Arabidopsis thaliana: one gene and its partner. The protein of the gene in region 2 interacts with the protein of the main gene of each other region in a pairwise test. Each region holds a gene or a part of one and is shown on either strand. Other genes may lie near its edges.

Region 1 (8,762 bases), on a different chromosome or scaffold from region 2:
GAAACAACATCCAATGGTTTCACAGACTCCATCTGCAGATTCATCACCAATGCTTTAGTAAGATAACAAAAAAAAAAGTGAAGAAGTGGATGAATAGGACTTGTAACAATGTCTATATCGAACAAAAAGAGAAAAGTAAAAGCAAAATTAGATCTAGGACCATTAATAGAGCTTCACTTTGTAGACTTCTTTGGTTAAAACAACAAAAAAAGATGAAGAGCAGACAAGAAGCTTGAAGAGATTGTTTCACAAATGGTTCGCACTACACTTTTGGTCACAAAGGAAAGGAGGGAGATGTTTGCAATAAATATATATACACACAGAGAGAAAGAGAGACATACATGCTTAGATTATCTAGTGGATACAGCTTAAAGATTCAGCCAGAGTTGTGGGGACAATGTGGTTCATATATAAATGAAAAAAATGTTTTAATTTACAAGGAATAAACAATCAAGAAATGTCCAAGGAAGAAGAATAAACAACTTGCGTGTGTAGTACCATTTCTTTTCATGAACCGATCAACTTTTTTGCTTTCTTATTAATGTTCTGAAATCTTTTGCTATATATGTGTGTGGGGCTATTTAGTCAAATTGTGCTGCTATAGAATCAAACAAAAGTGAGAAAACAACATATAATAAAAATAACACCCAAATGGGTTTATCTGCAGAACACATGACACATGCAAATAATTCAACACCCCTCGTTCTTATTTTCTATTCAACTTTTTTCTGAAAAGGAACAGTCAAGAAAAAAGTGCGAAAGTGAATACAAAAAGAACTAATGAGTTTAAATACATATATATACTCAAAGTTGTTCATAAGTTTACAATTATGGGACACTGATAAAAGGATTAGAGTATTCAGGATTCATAATTGCTACAAACCAAATCAGTTAAACTAGAATCCAAGAACATAAAAGTGCCCCCACACACAAATACACACATGTCTCTATGTATATGATTCTCTTAAATGGTCATTTGATTCCACTCATTTGAAAAAAAAGTAAGACAGCCTCAAAGCCAAATATAGCTACCTAACATTTAGTACAGTCACAAGCTACTCACAAAACAACCATATTTCTCTATTTCACTAGAGCTTAGACCATAAAGCACACGGATTAAAGGAAAACTAATGAGAAGAGTTATGTTAAAGAGTGATAATAAACTCAGCAACATAACCAGTATTACTCCAGAAGGTCTAAATTAATATGGTTCTCAGGGTTTAATACAACTTTAGAAGCAAAGTTCATTTAAAAAGATTGTATTGAATTTACCTTCCAACAGTTCCAAGGTCTCTATCTTATCTATGTTTTGTTTGTTGTTCTCACTTCATCGTAGAGTGAATTTGAAGAAGCAAACTGGCGAAATGACAAACCAACCTCTGCTTAAACCCTGCAGATCAAATCAATCATATGAAATTATAAATCACTACCTACCAAAGGAAAAAGGATAAACACAGAACCAATATGAGACTAATATTCAAGCTGATGTGAATGCTTGACCATGGCATTATTGGTATGAATGATGGGATTGTAAGAGCATTCACAAGTCACAATGATATATTCATTTGATTGAAAATGAGAATATAAGAAACTGCAGAATAACAATGAAGACGAAATCATTCAGAAGAACAAAAGATGATAATTAATAAATATTGATTAGCTAACCAACCTGATCGATGTAAAAACACTCTCCCGGGCAAACCTCTCGGCGTTTTGCCTCTAAATTGATTCTTAACGACAATAAAATGGGTAACATACAAAAGATACAGATTCCTTCACGGTTTCAAGACAAGTCCGGAGCTCGAGAATGAGAAGAGGGGAAAAAGGCTTTAGAGTGACTGAGAGAGAGAGTCGTAGGAGAGGAGAAGAGAGTAATAAATGACAGAGAAGGGTGAGCCTAGGGAAGTTCAAAGGACATAGATTTACGTAAATACCCTCATGGTAAAGGGACATTTACACCGACATTGCTACTTTACTCCAAGAAACGTCGAAAAGGAAGTAGGGGTGTTCTCGGTATGTCAGGGAATAAGATGTTCAGACAGAACGCAAAATCACACGGTTTGGGTTGGGAATGAAACTACTTGGAAGCTGTTATTGCGTACGTACGCGAAGACCGGTCCGTCCGGTATGAGTGAGATAGATGAAAGACACGTGGCAAATTAAAAAAAAAGTGTAACCATTTCCCACATTCTCCTGAAAACGCTTTCTATTTGTTAACCCTTCTTTAGTTCCGTATTTAACTGCCTTGATGTTTATTTAATCAAACGAGAATTATGTAAGTTCATTCTCTATAAGTTCTTTTGTTTTTAAATAAGACTCTTAAATGTTGAACAAAAATAAAATAAGACTCTTAAATTATTTGTCAAGTTGCATAAAAGACAGCTGAATAGCAGTATTAGCTTTCACTAAATACGTGAAGCAACTCAATAAGTACAGTTGTCCTATCGATGAAAGCAAAATCAAGATTGAAAATTGCTAAGTCCAAAGTTTGAATCATCTTATAAGCAATAAGTAAACCAAATTAGTCTTGGTGGGCTTTAAATGCAAACTTTATAAATATAGAAATCGTGAGAATACATCATTCCAGTTATATTTGTACGAGTTATGAATACAATGCACTGATGCAGTGATGGAGTGGCATATGCATGTAATTTTATCAGTTAGTACAAAGTGAGTTAATTGTCCGTGTTTAACGGAAAGTAAAAAGCTTGAGAGACAATTCGATTTCAATTTCAAACCAAGAATTGAGAGCTATGAGCCTATGAGAGTATGGATTTGATAAAAAGGATTTTCTCTATTCACGACTATTCTTGATTTTTTTATTATGTATTAACGACTATTCACATACTATAAAGTTGCATATAATTTATTTACCTTATTTTGAAACAGACAAGAAAAAGGTATTGATGCGATTGGACATGTCGTAGAAGTGCTTCTGATCTGATCGGCTTTTTTTTTTTTGTTTCTTTACTTTAGTTTTGTCTTTTAGTATTCAAGACTTCTAGTGGCCCAGTGGCAGTGAGTATAAAGGATTTAGCACTCACTAAATGGGCGTATTGAAAGGTAAGAACCTTAATGGGCCTATTATAAGGCCCATAAAAAACACGAGTAACCCAATAAGGTAACTTTATGTTCGTTACACAATTTCTTTTCTTACTTTCAAAAAAGAAAAGAAAAAAATCTGTTGTCATCTGCAAATTGGTTTCATTCTATCAGTTGGTGTTGTGGTGTGTTGGAAGATGTGAATCGCCTCTACTAGGGTTCGATTCCAACATAAAATTGTACTTTTGGAAGATACAGAGAAAGAGATGGGCAAATCTCAGATTCTTCTAAACGCTGAGAGCTTTACTTGTTCTTCTTTCAATACTTTCTTCACTTTATGGATCTTCTTTACTCTTCACTCCTTTCCATTTCAAGCTCAAGCTGCTCCTTCTGGTAACTTTACCATACTTAACTTCGTTGCTTTGATCTATCTGCTTCACTCACTTTCTTAGTGAATTCACTCTTCAATTTCTGGTTTTTTATGTCAATTGTTGTAAATTGAATTTAGGTTCCTTGATTAAGCACATGTCATCGGTTCTCAAGTGGACTACTGGATCATCCTCTAAATTATCCCAATCAGGTAAATTCTCAATTAGTACGACTGAATTTGGTCGCCTTGATTGTTTGTTGTTCATAAACTTGGTTTTGATGTTTCTTTCTCTAACTGCTACTTGTGGTGCAGACACTAATGTTCTTCAGTTTGAGAATGGTTACTTGGTCGAAACTGTTGTGGAAGGAAACGATATTGGTGTTGTTCCTTACAAGATTCGAGTTTCTGATGATGGAGAACTTTATGCTGTTGATGAACTTAATAGCAACATCATGAAAATCACTCCTCCCTTGTCTCAGTGTAAAACTTCGTTCTCCACAAGTTCTCTTCTTTATGACTTAGTTTTTGCAGTTTTAAGTACATCCAATCATATACACATGCCATCGCAGATTATACTTGATACACTAACGATACTACTGTGATCTTTTGATGATCTTGGCTTGTAGCATTACATTTTCTATTTTACTTCAATATTCTGGTTCTTTATACTATATATGAAACATTTGATTTTCTCTTTCTTTTTTAGTGTTGGAGGTTTTTATGACTTTGTTTATAATCTATGTACTTGTGGGCAGACAGCAGGGGAAGATTGGTGGCTGGATCTTTTCAAGGAAAAACAGGGCATGCAGATGGAAAACCGAGTGAGGCTCGTTTTAACCATCCGAGAGGCGTTACAATGGATGACAAAGGGAACGTTTATGTCGCTGATACTTTGAATCTCGCCATCCGAAAGATTGGTGATTCAGGTATACAAGTTTTCTATAGGTTTTACTTACATCAGCACTCAAAAACTGAAATGGTTGCTTGTTGTTGAAAAATATAATTAAACTGAGAAGAATTGTGTTCTTAAGAGTCTGAAACATTTTTGTTACAGGTGTTACTACGATAGCTGGGGGAAAATCAAATATAGCTGGGTATAGAGATGGGCCAAGTGAGGATGCAAAGTTCTCAAATGATTTTGATGTCGTATATGTTCGGCCTACCTGCTCGTTGCTGGTCATCGATAGAGGAAATGCGGCTCTTCGCCAAATCTCTCTCAGTGAAGAGGACTGTGACTATCAAGATGATAGCTCAATCTCTCTAACTGGTAAGAAGTCAAAAACACCTCTTCCCACTACATAGATCATTTTGCATACACTCTGTTTAGGGGTGGATTTGAGAGTGTTAACAGAAGATCATTGCGTGCTTACATTCGGTGCAGATATACTCTTGGTTATTGGTGCTGTTCTCATTGGTTATGCTACTTGTATGCTCCAGCAGGGCTTTGGAAATTCTTTCTTCTCAAAGACGGTAAATTTCTATCTCTTCTCTTTCGTGCCTTTTCGCTTCTCATCAACCATATGCTACAAACAACAACAATTTCTGTTTTATCTTACAGCAGGTAGGATCAGAAACCAGCTATGAAGAAGAGCATCCAGGAAAAGAGAAACTCTCCCGGCCTGTCCATGAGAAAACAATAACCAAGGAAGAACCTGGTTGGCCATCATTTGGGCAACTCCTTACTGATCTCTGCAAACTTGCTCTCGAGTTTATAACCAGCCACCTAGTTCCAGCCCGATTCCAAACCAACCCCAATCTAAGGCCATTAAAAGATAGACTCATAATGCCTGAAGACGAACAAGAACCACCTCGAGTCCAAAGGCATACTGCCCCAGCACCAATCTCAGAATCCCGACATGCTCACTTACCTAAAGCTGATGATAGTTACCCTGAACATAAGACGCCAAAGCTAAGATCAAGTAGTGTAATGAAGGACCCTACTTTGTCATCATCCAAGCACCATCGGACATCATCAAAACGGCAGGACTATGCTCAGTTCTATGCCTCGGGAGAGGTTGCCCAACCGAAGATCCATAAAGAGCGGTCAAGGCGTCGTCATAGAGATAAAACAACCGAGACAGAACCAAAGCCAACACCATCAGATACGGTGAAGCCTGTGGAGTACAGTAATAGTTCAAAGTTTGATCATTACAACATGAGGAGCAGCAAGTATGGACCTGAAACTCCATTTCGATTCTAGAAAGTAAAATCACATACTCATTAGAACCCTTTTCTGAGTATGTTGTGCCCTTTCTTTTGTCCTTGGTTTGAGGAGATTCCTTATGTTTTCTTTTTGTTAGTTACTAAGAAAATCTTATTACACAGATGATGAAAAAGAGGTTAAAGGCTTTTCTTGTAACGAAGGATTGATGAATCATGACTGAAAATCTGATGTATTATGAACTTATACGATCACAAGAACAGGCTCTTCGTTACTAACTTGCTATTAACACATTCTTGCTTGCTATATATAGATCTTTGGCTGCTAGAGATAGGTTCCTTGCTAACCATGGTCCTAAGAAAGTATATATAATTGTAAAGAATCTTAGTCAAAAAAAAAAAAAGGAAAAAAAAATGAAGGGCCCTACCGGGTTCGAACCGGTGACCTCTTGATCTGCAGTCAAATGCTCTACCACTGAGCTAAGGACCCTTTTGTTCAACTCATGATACATTCATTACAAAAATATTAGGTGCTCATGATAGAACAGAGTAAAATCTATGTGTTTGGCATGGAGATAAAGAGAGTACGAATACGAATATGATTTTTTAAGATCGAATTTGATAATAACTTGACTTCATTCATACGAATATGATTTTTTAAGATCGAATTTGATAATAACTTGACTTCATTCAGTTCCATTTTTATAGAATTATTGTAGAGATTTGGTTGAAACTTTAATAATTGGAATGTGCTTTGTTGACAAACTATCGATCAGTTGAAAAACGACCTTACTAAATGAATTAGCTATAGAAGTTTTGATCTATACAGTTTCATATTGTGTTCACTTACACTACACGGAGGTAGGGTTTAGATTAATTATTTTTCTTGATCATTCGATTTCTTTAATTCTAATAACCTATGTATGATTACAAAATTCAGAAACGGACCTTTTATTCAGATTTAAATGATCAATCACAATAACAAATGCTATAATTGATGTTTCCGTATTTTATTTCTTTTACTCAACCATATAATTGTAAAGAATCTCATTCCAAGTATCCGGTACCCCAGAGAGACACCAGTGGCTGCAGTCACCGGAGGAGTTTCGCCCGCCTAGACCGTAAACCGAAGGATGAGCATCTTTGCGAAGCAACGAAAGCATCGTAATGTCTAGCAATGTCACCGGTTTCGATATTTTCCCGAGTGCTCTCTTCAAAACTCCCACTTCTGCTGGCAATCCTCCTGGATATTTTGTCCCCAAAAGTGGTTCCTTCTGTCCCACGCAACTCTTTGCCGCTGGTTCGCCCCACAGAACTCCTCTGGTAAACAACAAAGCCAACTTTTTAAATACAAGTTTCTTTAGTTGATCATCTTTTTAATCAACAAAATCAACTTACTTGTAATGAGATGGAGAAATTCCTTGAAAAAAGACTCTAGTTTTCTTAGTATTTAAGACGGTATCGACCCATTTCCCCCAAGTCCCAAGCGCAATTTCAAACGCGGCCACACGGTCCATGTCTTTTGTAACGTTAGTCCCTATTTGAATCAAATCCCATCTGCCAAAATTAACAAAACAAATCCAAACTTTGAACATTGCATGTAATTAAGCCAAAAACAAAGCATATTAATTCAGAGTTACTTGAACGTACGGTTGTGCAGGACCTCTCCGACTCCACCAATGCCAAGTATTAAAAATCAATGTATCCATCTCTACCCAATTTTTTCCATCATTGATCGAATCAAGCTTCAAAACTCTCCCAATCTTCTCCCTAACTATATCTACTAGATAAACATTCCTATCAAGCTTCAATTCCAGTCCATACTCCTGCAATTTTCACCACTCCGGTTTAGTTCATCCCGGTTTTCTATTCAACTTGACCAAAACAAGTGTAGATTTGGTAATAACAACTACCTTGAATGTGTAGGTTGATATACTACCTTGTGTGGTTAAAGTATACGTAGAATTTGGAACAGAGGAATGAAGCATACATGCCAACGATTGCCATTGATTTAGACTAAGAGAATCACCAACAAACATAATCTTCTTCCCTTTGTTTTTCTTCAAAAACTGCAATCCATTGAACCTAGAACAAACAATATAAACGGTGGCGTTTTATGTCGGTGGCATGCATTGAAATTAACTTAAGAAACAGGAGGACAGAACCGTCGAAAGATTTGAGTTACTGTCCCCACAAGTGTGGGGGAATTTATGTCTTCTTATGAGGAAGAGTTTGGTGGCTGTCCTAATCTCAATGGCGGCGCGTGTAACTCACGCCGGATCCACCACTTGGCATATATTGTGACAAAAAAAGTTCGTTTTCATCTCGTGCAATTTTGGAGATTCTAAACACCATTCAATTATAGCAAACAACTATATAAATAGCATTCTCTTTTCTCATTGGTTGCTCACTCAAAAGTGCTTTATTTTACAAACACAAAAACAATATCTCTAAACATTTTCAACTTTCTTGAAAAGTAATTATATGAACCAAATCAAGATTTCTTCACACTGCTGAATTATTATTGCGTTTATCTTTCAAATCAAAAAATTGTGGTCCTCCTATAACGCTAATGTAATGTCATATTTCAACAAATAAAAACCGACGAATATATTAAAACAAAATCATGAATCAAAAGTAAAAAAATAAAAATAGTCATATCTATAACGATACCTTGGTTCAATAGCTAGACACCCAAAAAAAAAAGTTTGAAAAGATAAAAATGTATGTAATAAATAAAGAATGGATGATACCTTGCTAATTTGCAGGAAAGAGGCTGCCATCTGAAGGTAGAGTAATCGAGATCTGGCCGTCCATTTCTCTGGCAAGAGAACTCATGTCTTATGAACGGACACGTGGAGGAATTGTAGAGAGGGTAAGAATCGTCCTTCACCCACCGCCCCGTGAACATGTCACATCCTTCTGCTGCTTCGTGAAGCAGGGGAAGAAGAAGAAGAAGAAGAAGCGATAAAACTAATGCAGAGTCATTAGAAATGGCGTTATCCTTTGAACCCATTTCAACACAGACAAGAGAGAGAGAGATATTCAAATACGCAGCTGGTTTTTATACACCCACGCATCTATATATAAAATATATATATAAGTCACATTTGTCATAATAAAGAGAAGGAAGATAAGTTTTTATCAGTCAAATATGTGAAGTTGTGAACTATAGATTTTTGGCAATAAA
Region 2 (8,497 bases):
GTGTAGTTCTACAAGATATACGAGCAAAGAGACCGAGAAAGCAAGAACAGCAATTTTCATTTTGATTCATGGAAACCAAACATCGAACATCCCAGGCAGAAACTGATCAAATGCAGAAGACAACGAAAATACTTAAAAATAACAAAGTTTGTTTTCTTCAAATCCTCTGAACTTTATCCGCCTTAACCAAAGGATTAGCCTTTGCAATTGCATCACGTCCAACTTCTTTGAAATCGAAGCTACACTCATGCTTCTCCGGGTACCTATGACTCCCGCAAAACGTGCTACCGCATTTGCACTTAAACCCCATTACACCAACCTTCTTGTTACAGCTGAAACACCTGTTGTTCGGTCTAACAGGTCTCGACGGCTCAGCCTCGTCCTGTTCCGCGGCTACAGGTACAGAAGACGGCTCAGCGGTTACAACAACGGTTTCCAAATGAGCTGGTTTAATTTCCAGAGGATGTTTTTGTCCAGGTGCAATGATACTGCAAGATGGAAGCTTTAAAGAGTTCTTCACCGCAGCTTTCGCTACCGCGGTTTGATCTTCCTCGGCTCTTAAGCTTCTGTAACATTTCGAGCAGAGATTCATGTTGGATGGTGACCCGAAGAATCCACATCCGTTATCACAGAGCTTTGGCTCTGTTGGTGGAAAGCTTGTGCTGTTGTTTTCCTCTGAGCCCATTTTTTTTGTATCTATTTCACCTTCAACTAAACAAACAACAAAAACAATTTATCATCTGACACCAGAAGACTCATTTTTTAAGGTTGTCTTCAATTCATAACATGATAATCAAATAACCGATTCAATTCGATCAAACCCAGCTTCAATATAATCAATCATTTCGATTTAACGCAGCTTCGATACAATCAAAATTGATCAAATTCCAATAAAACACAGCTTCTATATAATCAAAAATGATTCATTTCGATCTAAACCCAGCTTTTCTATAAACAAAAATTCGATTTAACCCAGCTTTGATAAGATCTATCTCGCTACTCAAAATTTCCCCAAATCCAATTTAAGAACACAGAAATTTGATTAATCGTAACAAAAATGTTCAGATCTGTTGGAAAAACAAACAATAAAGGGAAAAAAATTACCAGAAAAGTCGGATCAAATGAGACCTTTGCCAAAAATTTCAAAAGCTTCTTCCGAATATCCTTATCAACAAGTATCTTAAATCTTCCTGAGGAAGAAGGAAGGGTCAGATTTTTCTAGGGATTTGTTGTAAATTCTGTTCAAAGTTGATCAGAACAAATCCCTTGATTTAGGTGAGAGAGAAGAAAGAAGAGATAACCAAACACGCAACAATGGTTGATGAGAGAAATGAGGCTTTTGTTATATGGTTTGGTTTACGAACCACGAGACACGGTTTCCTCTTTTTTTTTTTTTATTGTCGGTCTTGTCTTTGTTTTTTTCTTAACGTCGTCAGTGTTGGCGTGCTTTTTAATTGGTTTTAGCCGTTGGATGTGTTACGACCGACGTTTATGTGACATTACTGCTTTTAATTTCATCGAACGGCTTATCTAGGGGTAATGACATCTTCGTAATAAATAAGAATCTTAGAAGTTAAAAGAGTCATTCTATTATTGTTACCATTTCTCTACACAGTCCACTGTTTCTTACTTTTCTTCGACAGTCGATTAAAAATATATACGTTCCGGTATTTACGTCGGTTTCGGATTAGATTTTTCTAGTTTGGATTCAGATTTATTCGAAATATCAAAAATTTCAAATTTTGTACAAAAATATATTCAAATTATTTTAAATTATACAAAAACTTTTAGAAAAACTTAAGTATTTTCTATCCGAATCAATCTAAAAGTAAGTAAAATACCTAAAAATATACAAAATATCTTAAAATCTAAATATTTTAGACACTTAAATTGTTGTAAATATGATTATTACTATTAAATTATTTTTATGTATATATATTTTGGATATATTCGGGTACTTAATCGGGTTCAGGTTTGAATCGGGTTCTGATTTCCGGATTTTGGATTTTGATGTTTAGAATCTGTTCGGGTATTTTAAAATTTCGAATTCGGATTCATATTGGATTTGGCTTGATTCCTTGTTTCGGGTATTTTGCCAAGTCTAGTCAATTTGATTAGATAAATCATAAAGCATATGGTTGAACATTTTTAGCTGATTGATATAAGAAAAAGTCGGAATTTTAACAAATTTTATTTTATATGATTTAGTTTGTTTAAGCTATAATTAAAGTGAAATTATTTTTGCAAATATGGCTTTAAGCTTACGGGTTGTATCTTACTTTTGGTCTTAAACACAAACCTTGTTTTTTTAAGAAAATGAATTTTATTTACCTTTTTTTTTGTATTGAAAATCAATAGTATGAAAAGATACGCTGCCAAAACAATTGCGACAAGGACTAAAATATTTACAATCTACAAATAATTGATGTAATCAAACATGACATTCCTCTTTTAAGCTTAGATCTACAAATCTACAAATAATAAATTTTATAGATAATGCTTAGATCATCTTCCACCATGATTCATAACCATTGTGATTAGAGAAACTTTTTTCATTTATCTATGTTTAAGTTTCAAATGGAAGAATCATCAATTATGAGACCTGCAATATATGACTGGCTTACACATCCCCCTAAAGAATCCTACCTAATTCTTAAAGGTCAAGAAACCCTGCTGTTTTTGACTTTGAAAAACCAAACTTCTTGTTGTTTCTTATCCGTGAAGCCAGTACTCCTGCCTTTCTGACCAAAGGTAAAGTCAGTAAATAGAGCCAAAAAAGGAAAAGGTTATTCTTATAGTTTATAGCTATTACTTACTAAGAAATAGAACCAGTGATGAAGTCAGAGTTAACTAAAAGTCTATGAGTAACATCAAAACATAGCCAAAGGATTTATCTTTTCATGATTAAGCAAAGGACCATGAGATAACCTAAAGAGCTCAAATTTGAATATTACTGCCAGAAGGAAGATGCTCAGAATATAGAATAATGCTAGACTCGTCCGGAGACACAATTTTTTTCTTGATACATCGGTTTCCATAAAAGTCTCAAACTTTATATCACAAGTCTTACACATGGACATGAATAGTAAATTGTGAAAACTTGTATTGTTCTCTGGACTCTGGTTGATTGACTCTGTTTTGGTTTGTCTCAGAACCAATCAAGAACCAAAAATGGAAACATTTTAAACTTTTTATGGGTAAATTCTTGGTTCTTTTATATGAAAACATAACCAGATCATTACGAAAACAATTGGAACAGCCGACCATAAACAACAGCAAATTCCGCAAAATCCCTGATTAGGTTTCATGTCACTACTCCTTTCTGTTTTTCCATATGGTAACAAGCGAGACGCCCATTAGAGACATAACAACCGTCTGCAAAATATAAAAAAATTCCGGTTAAACAAAAACATGGTTAATAGAAGAAAATAGATGTAACAAAACTATATTGAAAACTCACGGAGATTGCTGGAGGCACTCCAACGAGAGGATCTTGAAAGAACTTTGTAGCGAGGGCCAGAGCGAGAAGACTACTTTGCATTCCTGTTTCATAGGAAATTGTTCTTTGCAGAGCTTTTACATCAGGTGCCTTGCTGAAGAAGAAACCAGTGAAAAAGTAACCAGCAACAAAAGCCAAGAGATGAAACGTGATGACGAGGAACAAAATGGTTGCACCAAACGGAGACAAGATTGAATCTATATTCAAAGCAAGGGGTGCTCCTATGCAACAACTCATATCGATAACTGTTAACGCCGGAAGAAATGGTTTGATTGCATTAGACAACCTTGGAAACAACCTGCACTCACATTTGTAACGTAACGTTAGTTTTTTGTTCTTTCTAACATATAACATTACAATAATTCTAATCGATTGAGATGATGTCCCACCGGTTCAGAAGTAGTCCTGCGGCAATAGGTGTAATCACCACTTGAAGAATGCTAGAGATCATCCCAAACACATCAACGGGAAGCTTTTTACCAATGAGTAAGAGTGAAAGCATAGGTGTAACGAGGACCGCAGTGGCCGTTGAGATAGATGTCATGACGATGCTAAGCGCCGCGAGTGAAGGATCGGTCAAGAAAGTTGTGTAATTTGATAGCTGAGCTCCACTAACACATGAGACCAACATGATTCCAGCACCTATAGAAGTAGGTAGATTGAAAAGAGAGACAGCAATTACGCCGAAAATGTAACCTAAGAGAGGTTTAATCAAGTATTGTCCGATGTAACCGGCAAAAATAGCATCTGGTCTTTTAAGTGCTTCAAGAAAATCTCTTTCATTAGAGTTGATACCAACAGCAAACATCATGAACCCTAAGCCAGGTACAAAGTACCTAAATAAGGAGAAATAGTAATAAAGAGAGATGTCTAATTAAGATTTTGATCAAATTAGTAAGTAGGTTGATCCAAACCTTGGCTTGAACCATGTGAAAGAAGGTGGATAGACAAGAGCTAATATTGTACTTAACAGAATTCCATGAGGAATAAAAGAGTAGGCTTGCTTTAATGTTTCCATAATAGAAGAAACCTTCTTATGATACAGCTGAAACAAAACAGAACTGTTACTTGCCAAGAAAGCGATAAAAGCCGCAATTTTGTTGATTGTGGTTTACCTCGTTTGAGTCAGATTCGGATACATATCTCCGCCAAGGATGAATTGACTTGCTATCTTTGGATTGTATAACACACCAAAAATCAGAAACATTCAAAAATTGAACTTCTTCACTCCTAAAAACAGAGTTACTAGCCGAGATTTTTACTTACTTTGTGAAATCGGGTTACTTCGTAGTGGAAAATCTACAGAACATGATCCTACAAGAGAACTAAACCCATCAAAAACAAGAATTGAAGACTAAAGAAATGATAACATTTCATAAAAACAGAGGAGAAAGAAAGTGAAACCTAGAGAAGAGAATGAGTTGCGTGGGAAATTCGCAACTCGTCGAGTGCTGTGAAAAGCAAGTGCGTATGAATAGTTTCGAGGTTGAAGAAGACGATGTTGAGACTTTAAGAACAGAGTTTCAGTCGGAGATATCACACCCATTTTTCTTTCTTGAGGCTTAAGAGAGAAAGAGAAAGAGATGTGGAAACAAAAACGCAGCGTTTTTTGTTCGATTTATATTTTTGTTTAGCTCAAAGTACTATACCAACCTAACCAAGGGACGTTTCATGAGGCGTGTAAATTGTTGATACATTTCCACGATACGCACGTGTAAATGACACACCAAGTCACCAACCTATCGTCTCAAATGCACTATTTGAAAGGAAAAAATAAAAATAAAAAATTCTCAAAAGTTCGGGTTTCGATTGGACAATTATCATTTTGAGCAAACAAATGAAGAAACTATTTGATATAATTTAGAGAAAGGGAGAAACAGTTTAAGAAACAGTTTGGGGTTTAATTGGCATCTATATAAAAATTCTTATCTTAAAAAAAAAAGGAATTTTTAGGTATGGCTTTATCTTTTACTTCTTCTTTTTGTTTTTGTTTTGTTTTCTTTGTTAACATCTTTTCCTCTTTACGGTTTACAATGAAACATAATAATTTAGTTCGATGAAGTTTCAGTTTGATTCAATTCAAATTCCTTTTCATTTTTCCATATGAGTATAACTTTTTGTAAGGATACGTTAATTAAGTGAAATTTTGTCTAAACTATAAACTTGGAATAAGATCTTAACATGAAAAATTAAGTTAAATAACAAAATGAATTTAATCCTATCAAGACAATATATTAATTGTCATTACTACTGCAACTATAGAAGCTATGAATCTTTTGCTCTTCTTTACTTCTTAGTGGTGGGCATACGGTTTTTCGGTTTGGTTTCAGTTCGGATTTTTGGTTTTACGGTTTTTTGGTTTTACTAAAACTATAACCATATAGAAACATATGTAATTCAGTTTGGTTACGGTTTTATGGTTTTTCGGTTTTATAAATATTGAAACCATATAAAACCCTAATCGTCCGTCCAAATACTCATTATATACAATCAGTTTTAATGAGTTTTTGTACGGGACTCTGAAGGTTATTGTGTTGAAACTTTAACCAACACTGAGATGCATTATGTTGTATGGATCCAGCCGCCCCAAAAAAGCTCTATCTATGACTTTTCCATTATCGATGTTTGGTCCTGTTCTTTTCATTGTCGATGCGTTAGCGACCCAAAATTATAACTGACTTGAGACATTAACAGATACCTCCCTCATATCCAAATAGGTGCAAATTAAGTTATATTTATGAATCTTAATCTTAATTAGTCTAGACTTTTCAGATTAAGTTTGGAAGAAATATTATGTTCACTATATTTGATGTGTATTGGAATGAGCAAGAAAGAGATGGACAACTTTGTTGGCTTCAGCAAAAAAAAAGAAACAAAAGACATAAAAAAAATTGTGATTTGTCAACGTGAAGTATGGAACAGAAGATTCAAACGATTTTAGTGCAAAGCATATTAGGGCATATGTTAGAATATATATACAACTTTTGATTCTAATATATTCTCATGACAACAAAGCCCAAAGTTTCACCTATCGAAGGCAATCTTCTAAAATTAGCCTCATCCACGGAGGAGCGAAGATACTGAACCTGAGCCCGAGGATGGTAATGGCATATTCACAAATGGATGGTTAAGCAGCTCAGCTGCAGTTGGCCGCTCTTCCGGGTTCACTTTGAGACACGTAAGTATGAAATCCCGGGCGTCTAGCGATAGAATATCAGGTATTTTCGGAAGCTTACCCGTTCCAATGTTATACAAGGCTGTACCCTGCACGTTTACACAAATTATGACCTTTAATTATTACTTCAAAATCCCATAAAAATAAAATAAAAGTTCAAAACAATTGAAGGTGCAAAACAAAATCACTTGTTGAGAAGTACAAATTTAAACTGTGCCAAATGCTTTGTTCATTTACTTTTACAGCTAAATAGTTGGTGATAATTGTGGGAATTTGCTTACTTTCATATAAAGAAAGTTTGAGAATCTTGAAGACTTACGATTTCCAGATCGGAGTAGGGAATCTGACCAGTCAACATTTCTAGCACAGTACACCCAAGGCTCCATATATCAGCTGGAGTTCCATAACCATCATAATCCTTCGGGTTAAGAATAACCTGATCAAATTATTATGTTCAGTTTAGAAACACAGTTGTACAAGTATAGCCTAAAGTACAATCAAAATGATATACATCCGCGTCTGTTACCTATGATCACTAATTACATACTCACAGTTATAATAAGAACTATAAACTAAAATAGAAATAATTTCAAACTAGTTTCAGATTAATCAAAGACCTGAAGGAAACATAACCGGGGATTTTCGAGCTTATCAAGCCTGGATCACAATATATGCGGGAACATATTTAAGTAACAGTTTAAGATACAACATTTCTTTTGATGTATGATATGTTTGTCTATCATTGTATTGACAAATTAAAACAGCGGGAAGGATTTTAAAACAATAACCTCTGGAGCCATCCAATTCCAATACGGAGTTCGCCAGAGGGACATTACCTATAACAAAATGCCACAGGTATCAAGTAAGGGGAATAAGCGATGTACCAGGTTAGTACTTGAAAATACTATAAACATCTATTATTAATGGAAAAGAACCTTAGCCAATCCAAAATCTGCAAGTTTAACTGTTCCATTAGCGTCCACCAATACATTTGCACATTTAATGTTCCTTTTTCACATCAGATGAAAAAAAAGTAAACGACCCAGGAAATCAGAAGCTTGGGAAATACATGAACTGCTATAAAAAAAGAGATTTTTCTAGTCAAACCTGTGTATAAAACCTTTATCGTGGAGATATTTCAATCCATCAAGAATCTGTCTTGTGTATAAGGAGACTACAGAGTCCCCAAGCTGGTTTCTTTGGTAGAGTTTTCGAAGGGACCCTTGGGTTACAAGTTCAAGAAAAATGTACAAATTCGACTCGTCCTGCAAACAGCAAAAATGCATTATGTTTTATGAGTCAGCTGCAACTGAGAACAGGAACCCAGAAATCATACCTTAGTTGTGCCACGATATCGCACGATATTCTGATGCTGAAGCTGACTAAGTAGCGCAATCCCCTGTAGAAAATCAAAAAATGTGGCAAGAGTAATGAGGATTAGCAAACTACTTCCAACAGATCAAGGACACAATGTTACAAGAATTAAAATTTGATGCCAGTAATAGACCAGGTATATCTCACCCCCTCGACTTGTTGTATCCATTCATGTGCCTGACTTCCCTGATCAAGTAGTGAAACTTCCTTGAAAGCAAAGAAGTCCCCGTCTCTACATTTAACATAAACATCCACCATAAAGCATTTTGGTTGGCATGAGCCAAAGGCGTAAAGGAAAACTCGCTTTCTTAGTATCGCTTTGCAACTAAGAAATCTGATTTTAAGTTCAACAAACATTATCAACCAGTAAGACTTACGCTGAAATGCCTTCATATACGGACCCTAATGATCCTCGTCCCAGAAGTTGACCCTTCTGCCAACACGTGATG

The links. Proteins that work in one complex are often made in the same cells at the same time.
Region 1: the proteins of BAT5 (region 2) and AT3G14860 interact in a protein complementation assay, tested with the Arabidopsis thaliana proteins (one large-scale study listed by BioGRID).

What each region holds. Positions count from the first base shown.
Region 1 is NC_003074.8:4,995,441-5,004,202, reverse strand, and holds AT3G14860 (NHL domain-containing protein), read left to right. Parts: upstream 1-3,156; 5' UTR 3,157-3,308; coding exon 3,309-3,435; intron 3,436-3,550; coding exon 3,551-3,622; intron 3,623-3,724; coding exon 3,725-3,892; intron 3,893-4,167; coding exon 4,168-4,338; intron 4,339-4,466; coding exon 4,467-4,679; intron 4,680-4,793; coding exon 4,794-4,882; intron 4,883-4,970; coding exon 4,971-5,612; 3' UTR 5,613-5,899; downstream 5,900-8,762. Other genes in the region: AT3G14870 (hypothetical protein (DUF641)), read right to left, coding at 1-44; TBL41 (TRICHOME BIREFRINGENCE-LIKE 41), read right to left, coding at 6,592-6,892, 6,971-7,129, 7,223-7,398, 7,486-7,657, 8,326-8,588.
Region 2 is NC_003075.7:7,207,529-7,216,025, reverse strand, and holds BAT5 (bile acid transporter 5), read right to left. Parts: upstream 5,220-8,497; 5' UTR 5,046-5,219; coding exon 4,904-5,045; intron 4,814-4,903; coding exon 4,766-4,813; intron 4,671-4,765; coding exon 4,615-4,670; exon of another isoform or gene 4,545-4,614; coding exon 4,414-4,544; exon of another isoform or gene 4,336-4,413; coding exon 3,889-4,335; intron 3,798-3,888; coding exon 3,461-3,797; intron 3,376-3,460; coding exon 3,313-3,375; 3' UTR 2,650-3,312; downstream 1-2,649. Other genes in the region: SAP7 (A20/AN1-like zinc finger family protein), read right to left, coding at 158-685; WRKY19 (protein kinase family protein), read right to left, coding at 6,557-6,763, 6,994-7,110, 7,463-7,510, 7,610-7,682, 7,782-7,939, 8,011-8,073, 8,196-8,280, 8,426-8,497. UniProt on the Arabidopsis thaliana protein: Plastidic transporter involved in the biosynthesis of aliphatic glucosinolates by translocating the biosynthetic intermediates of Met-derived glucosinolates across chloroplast membranes.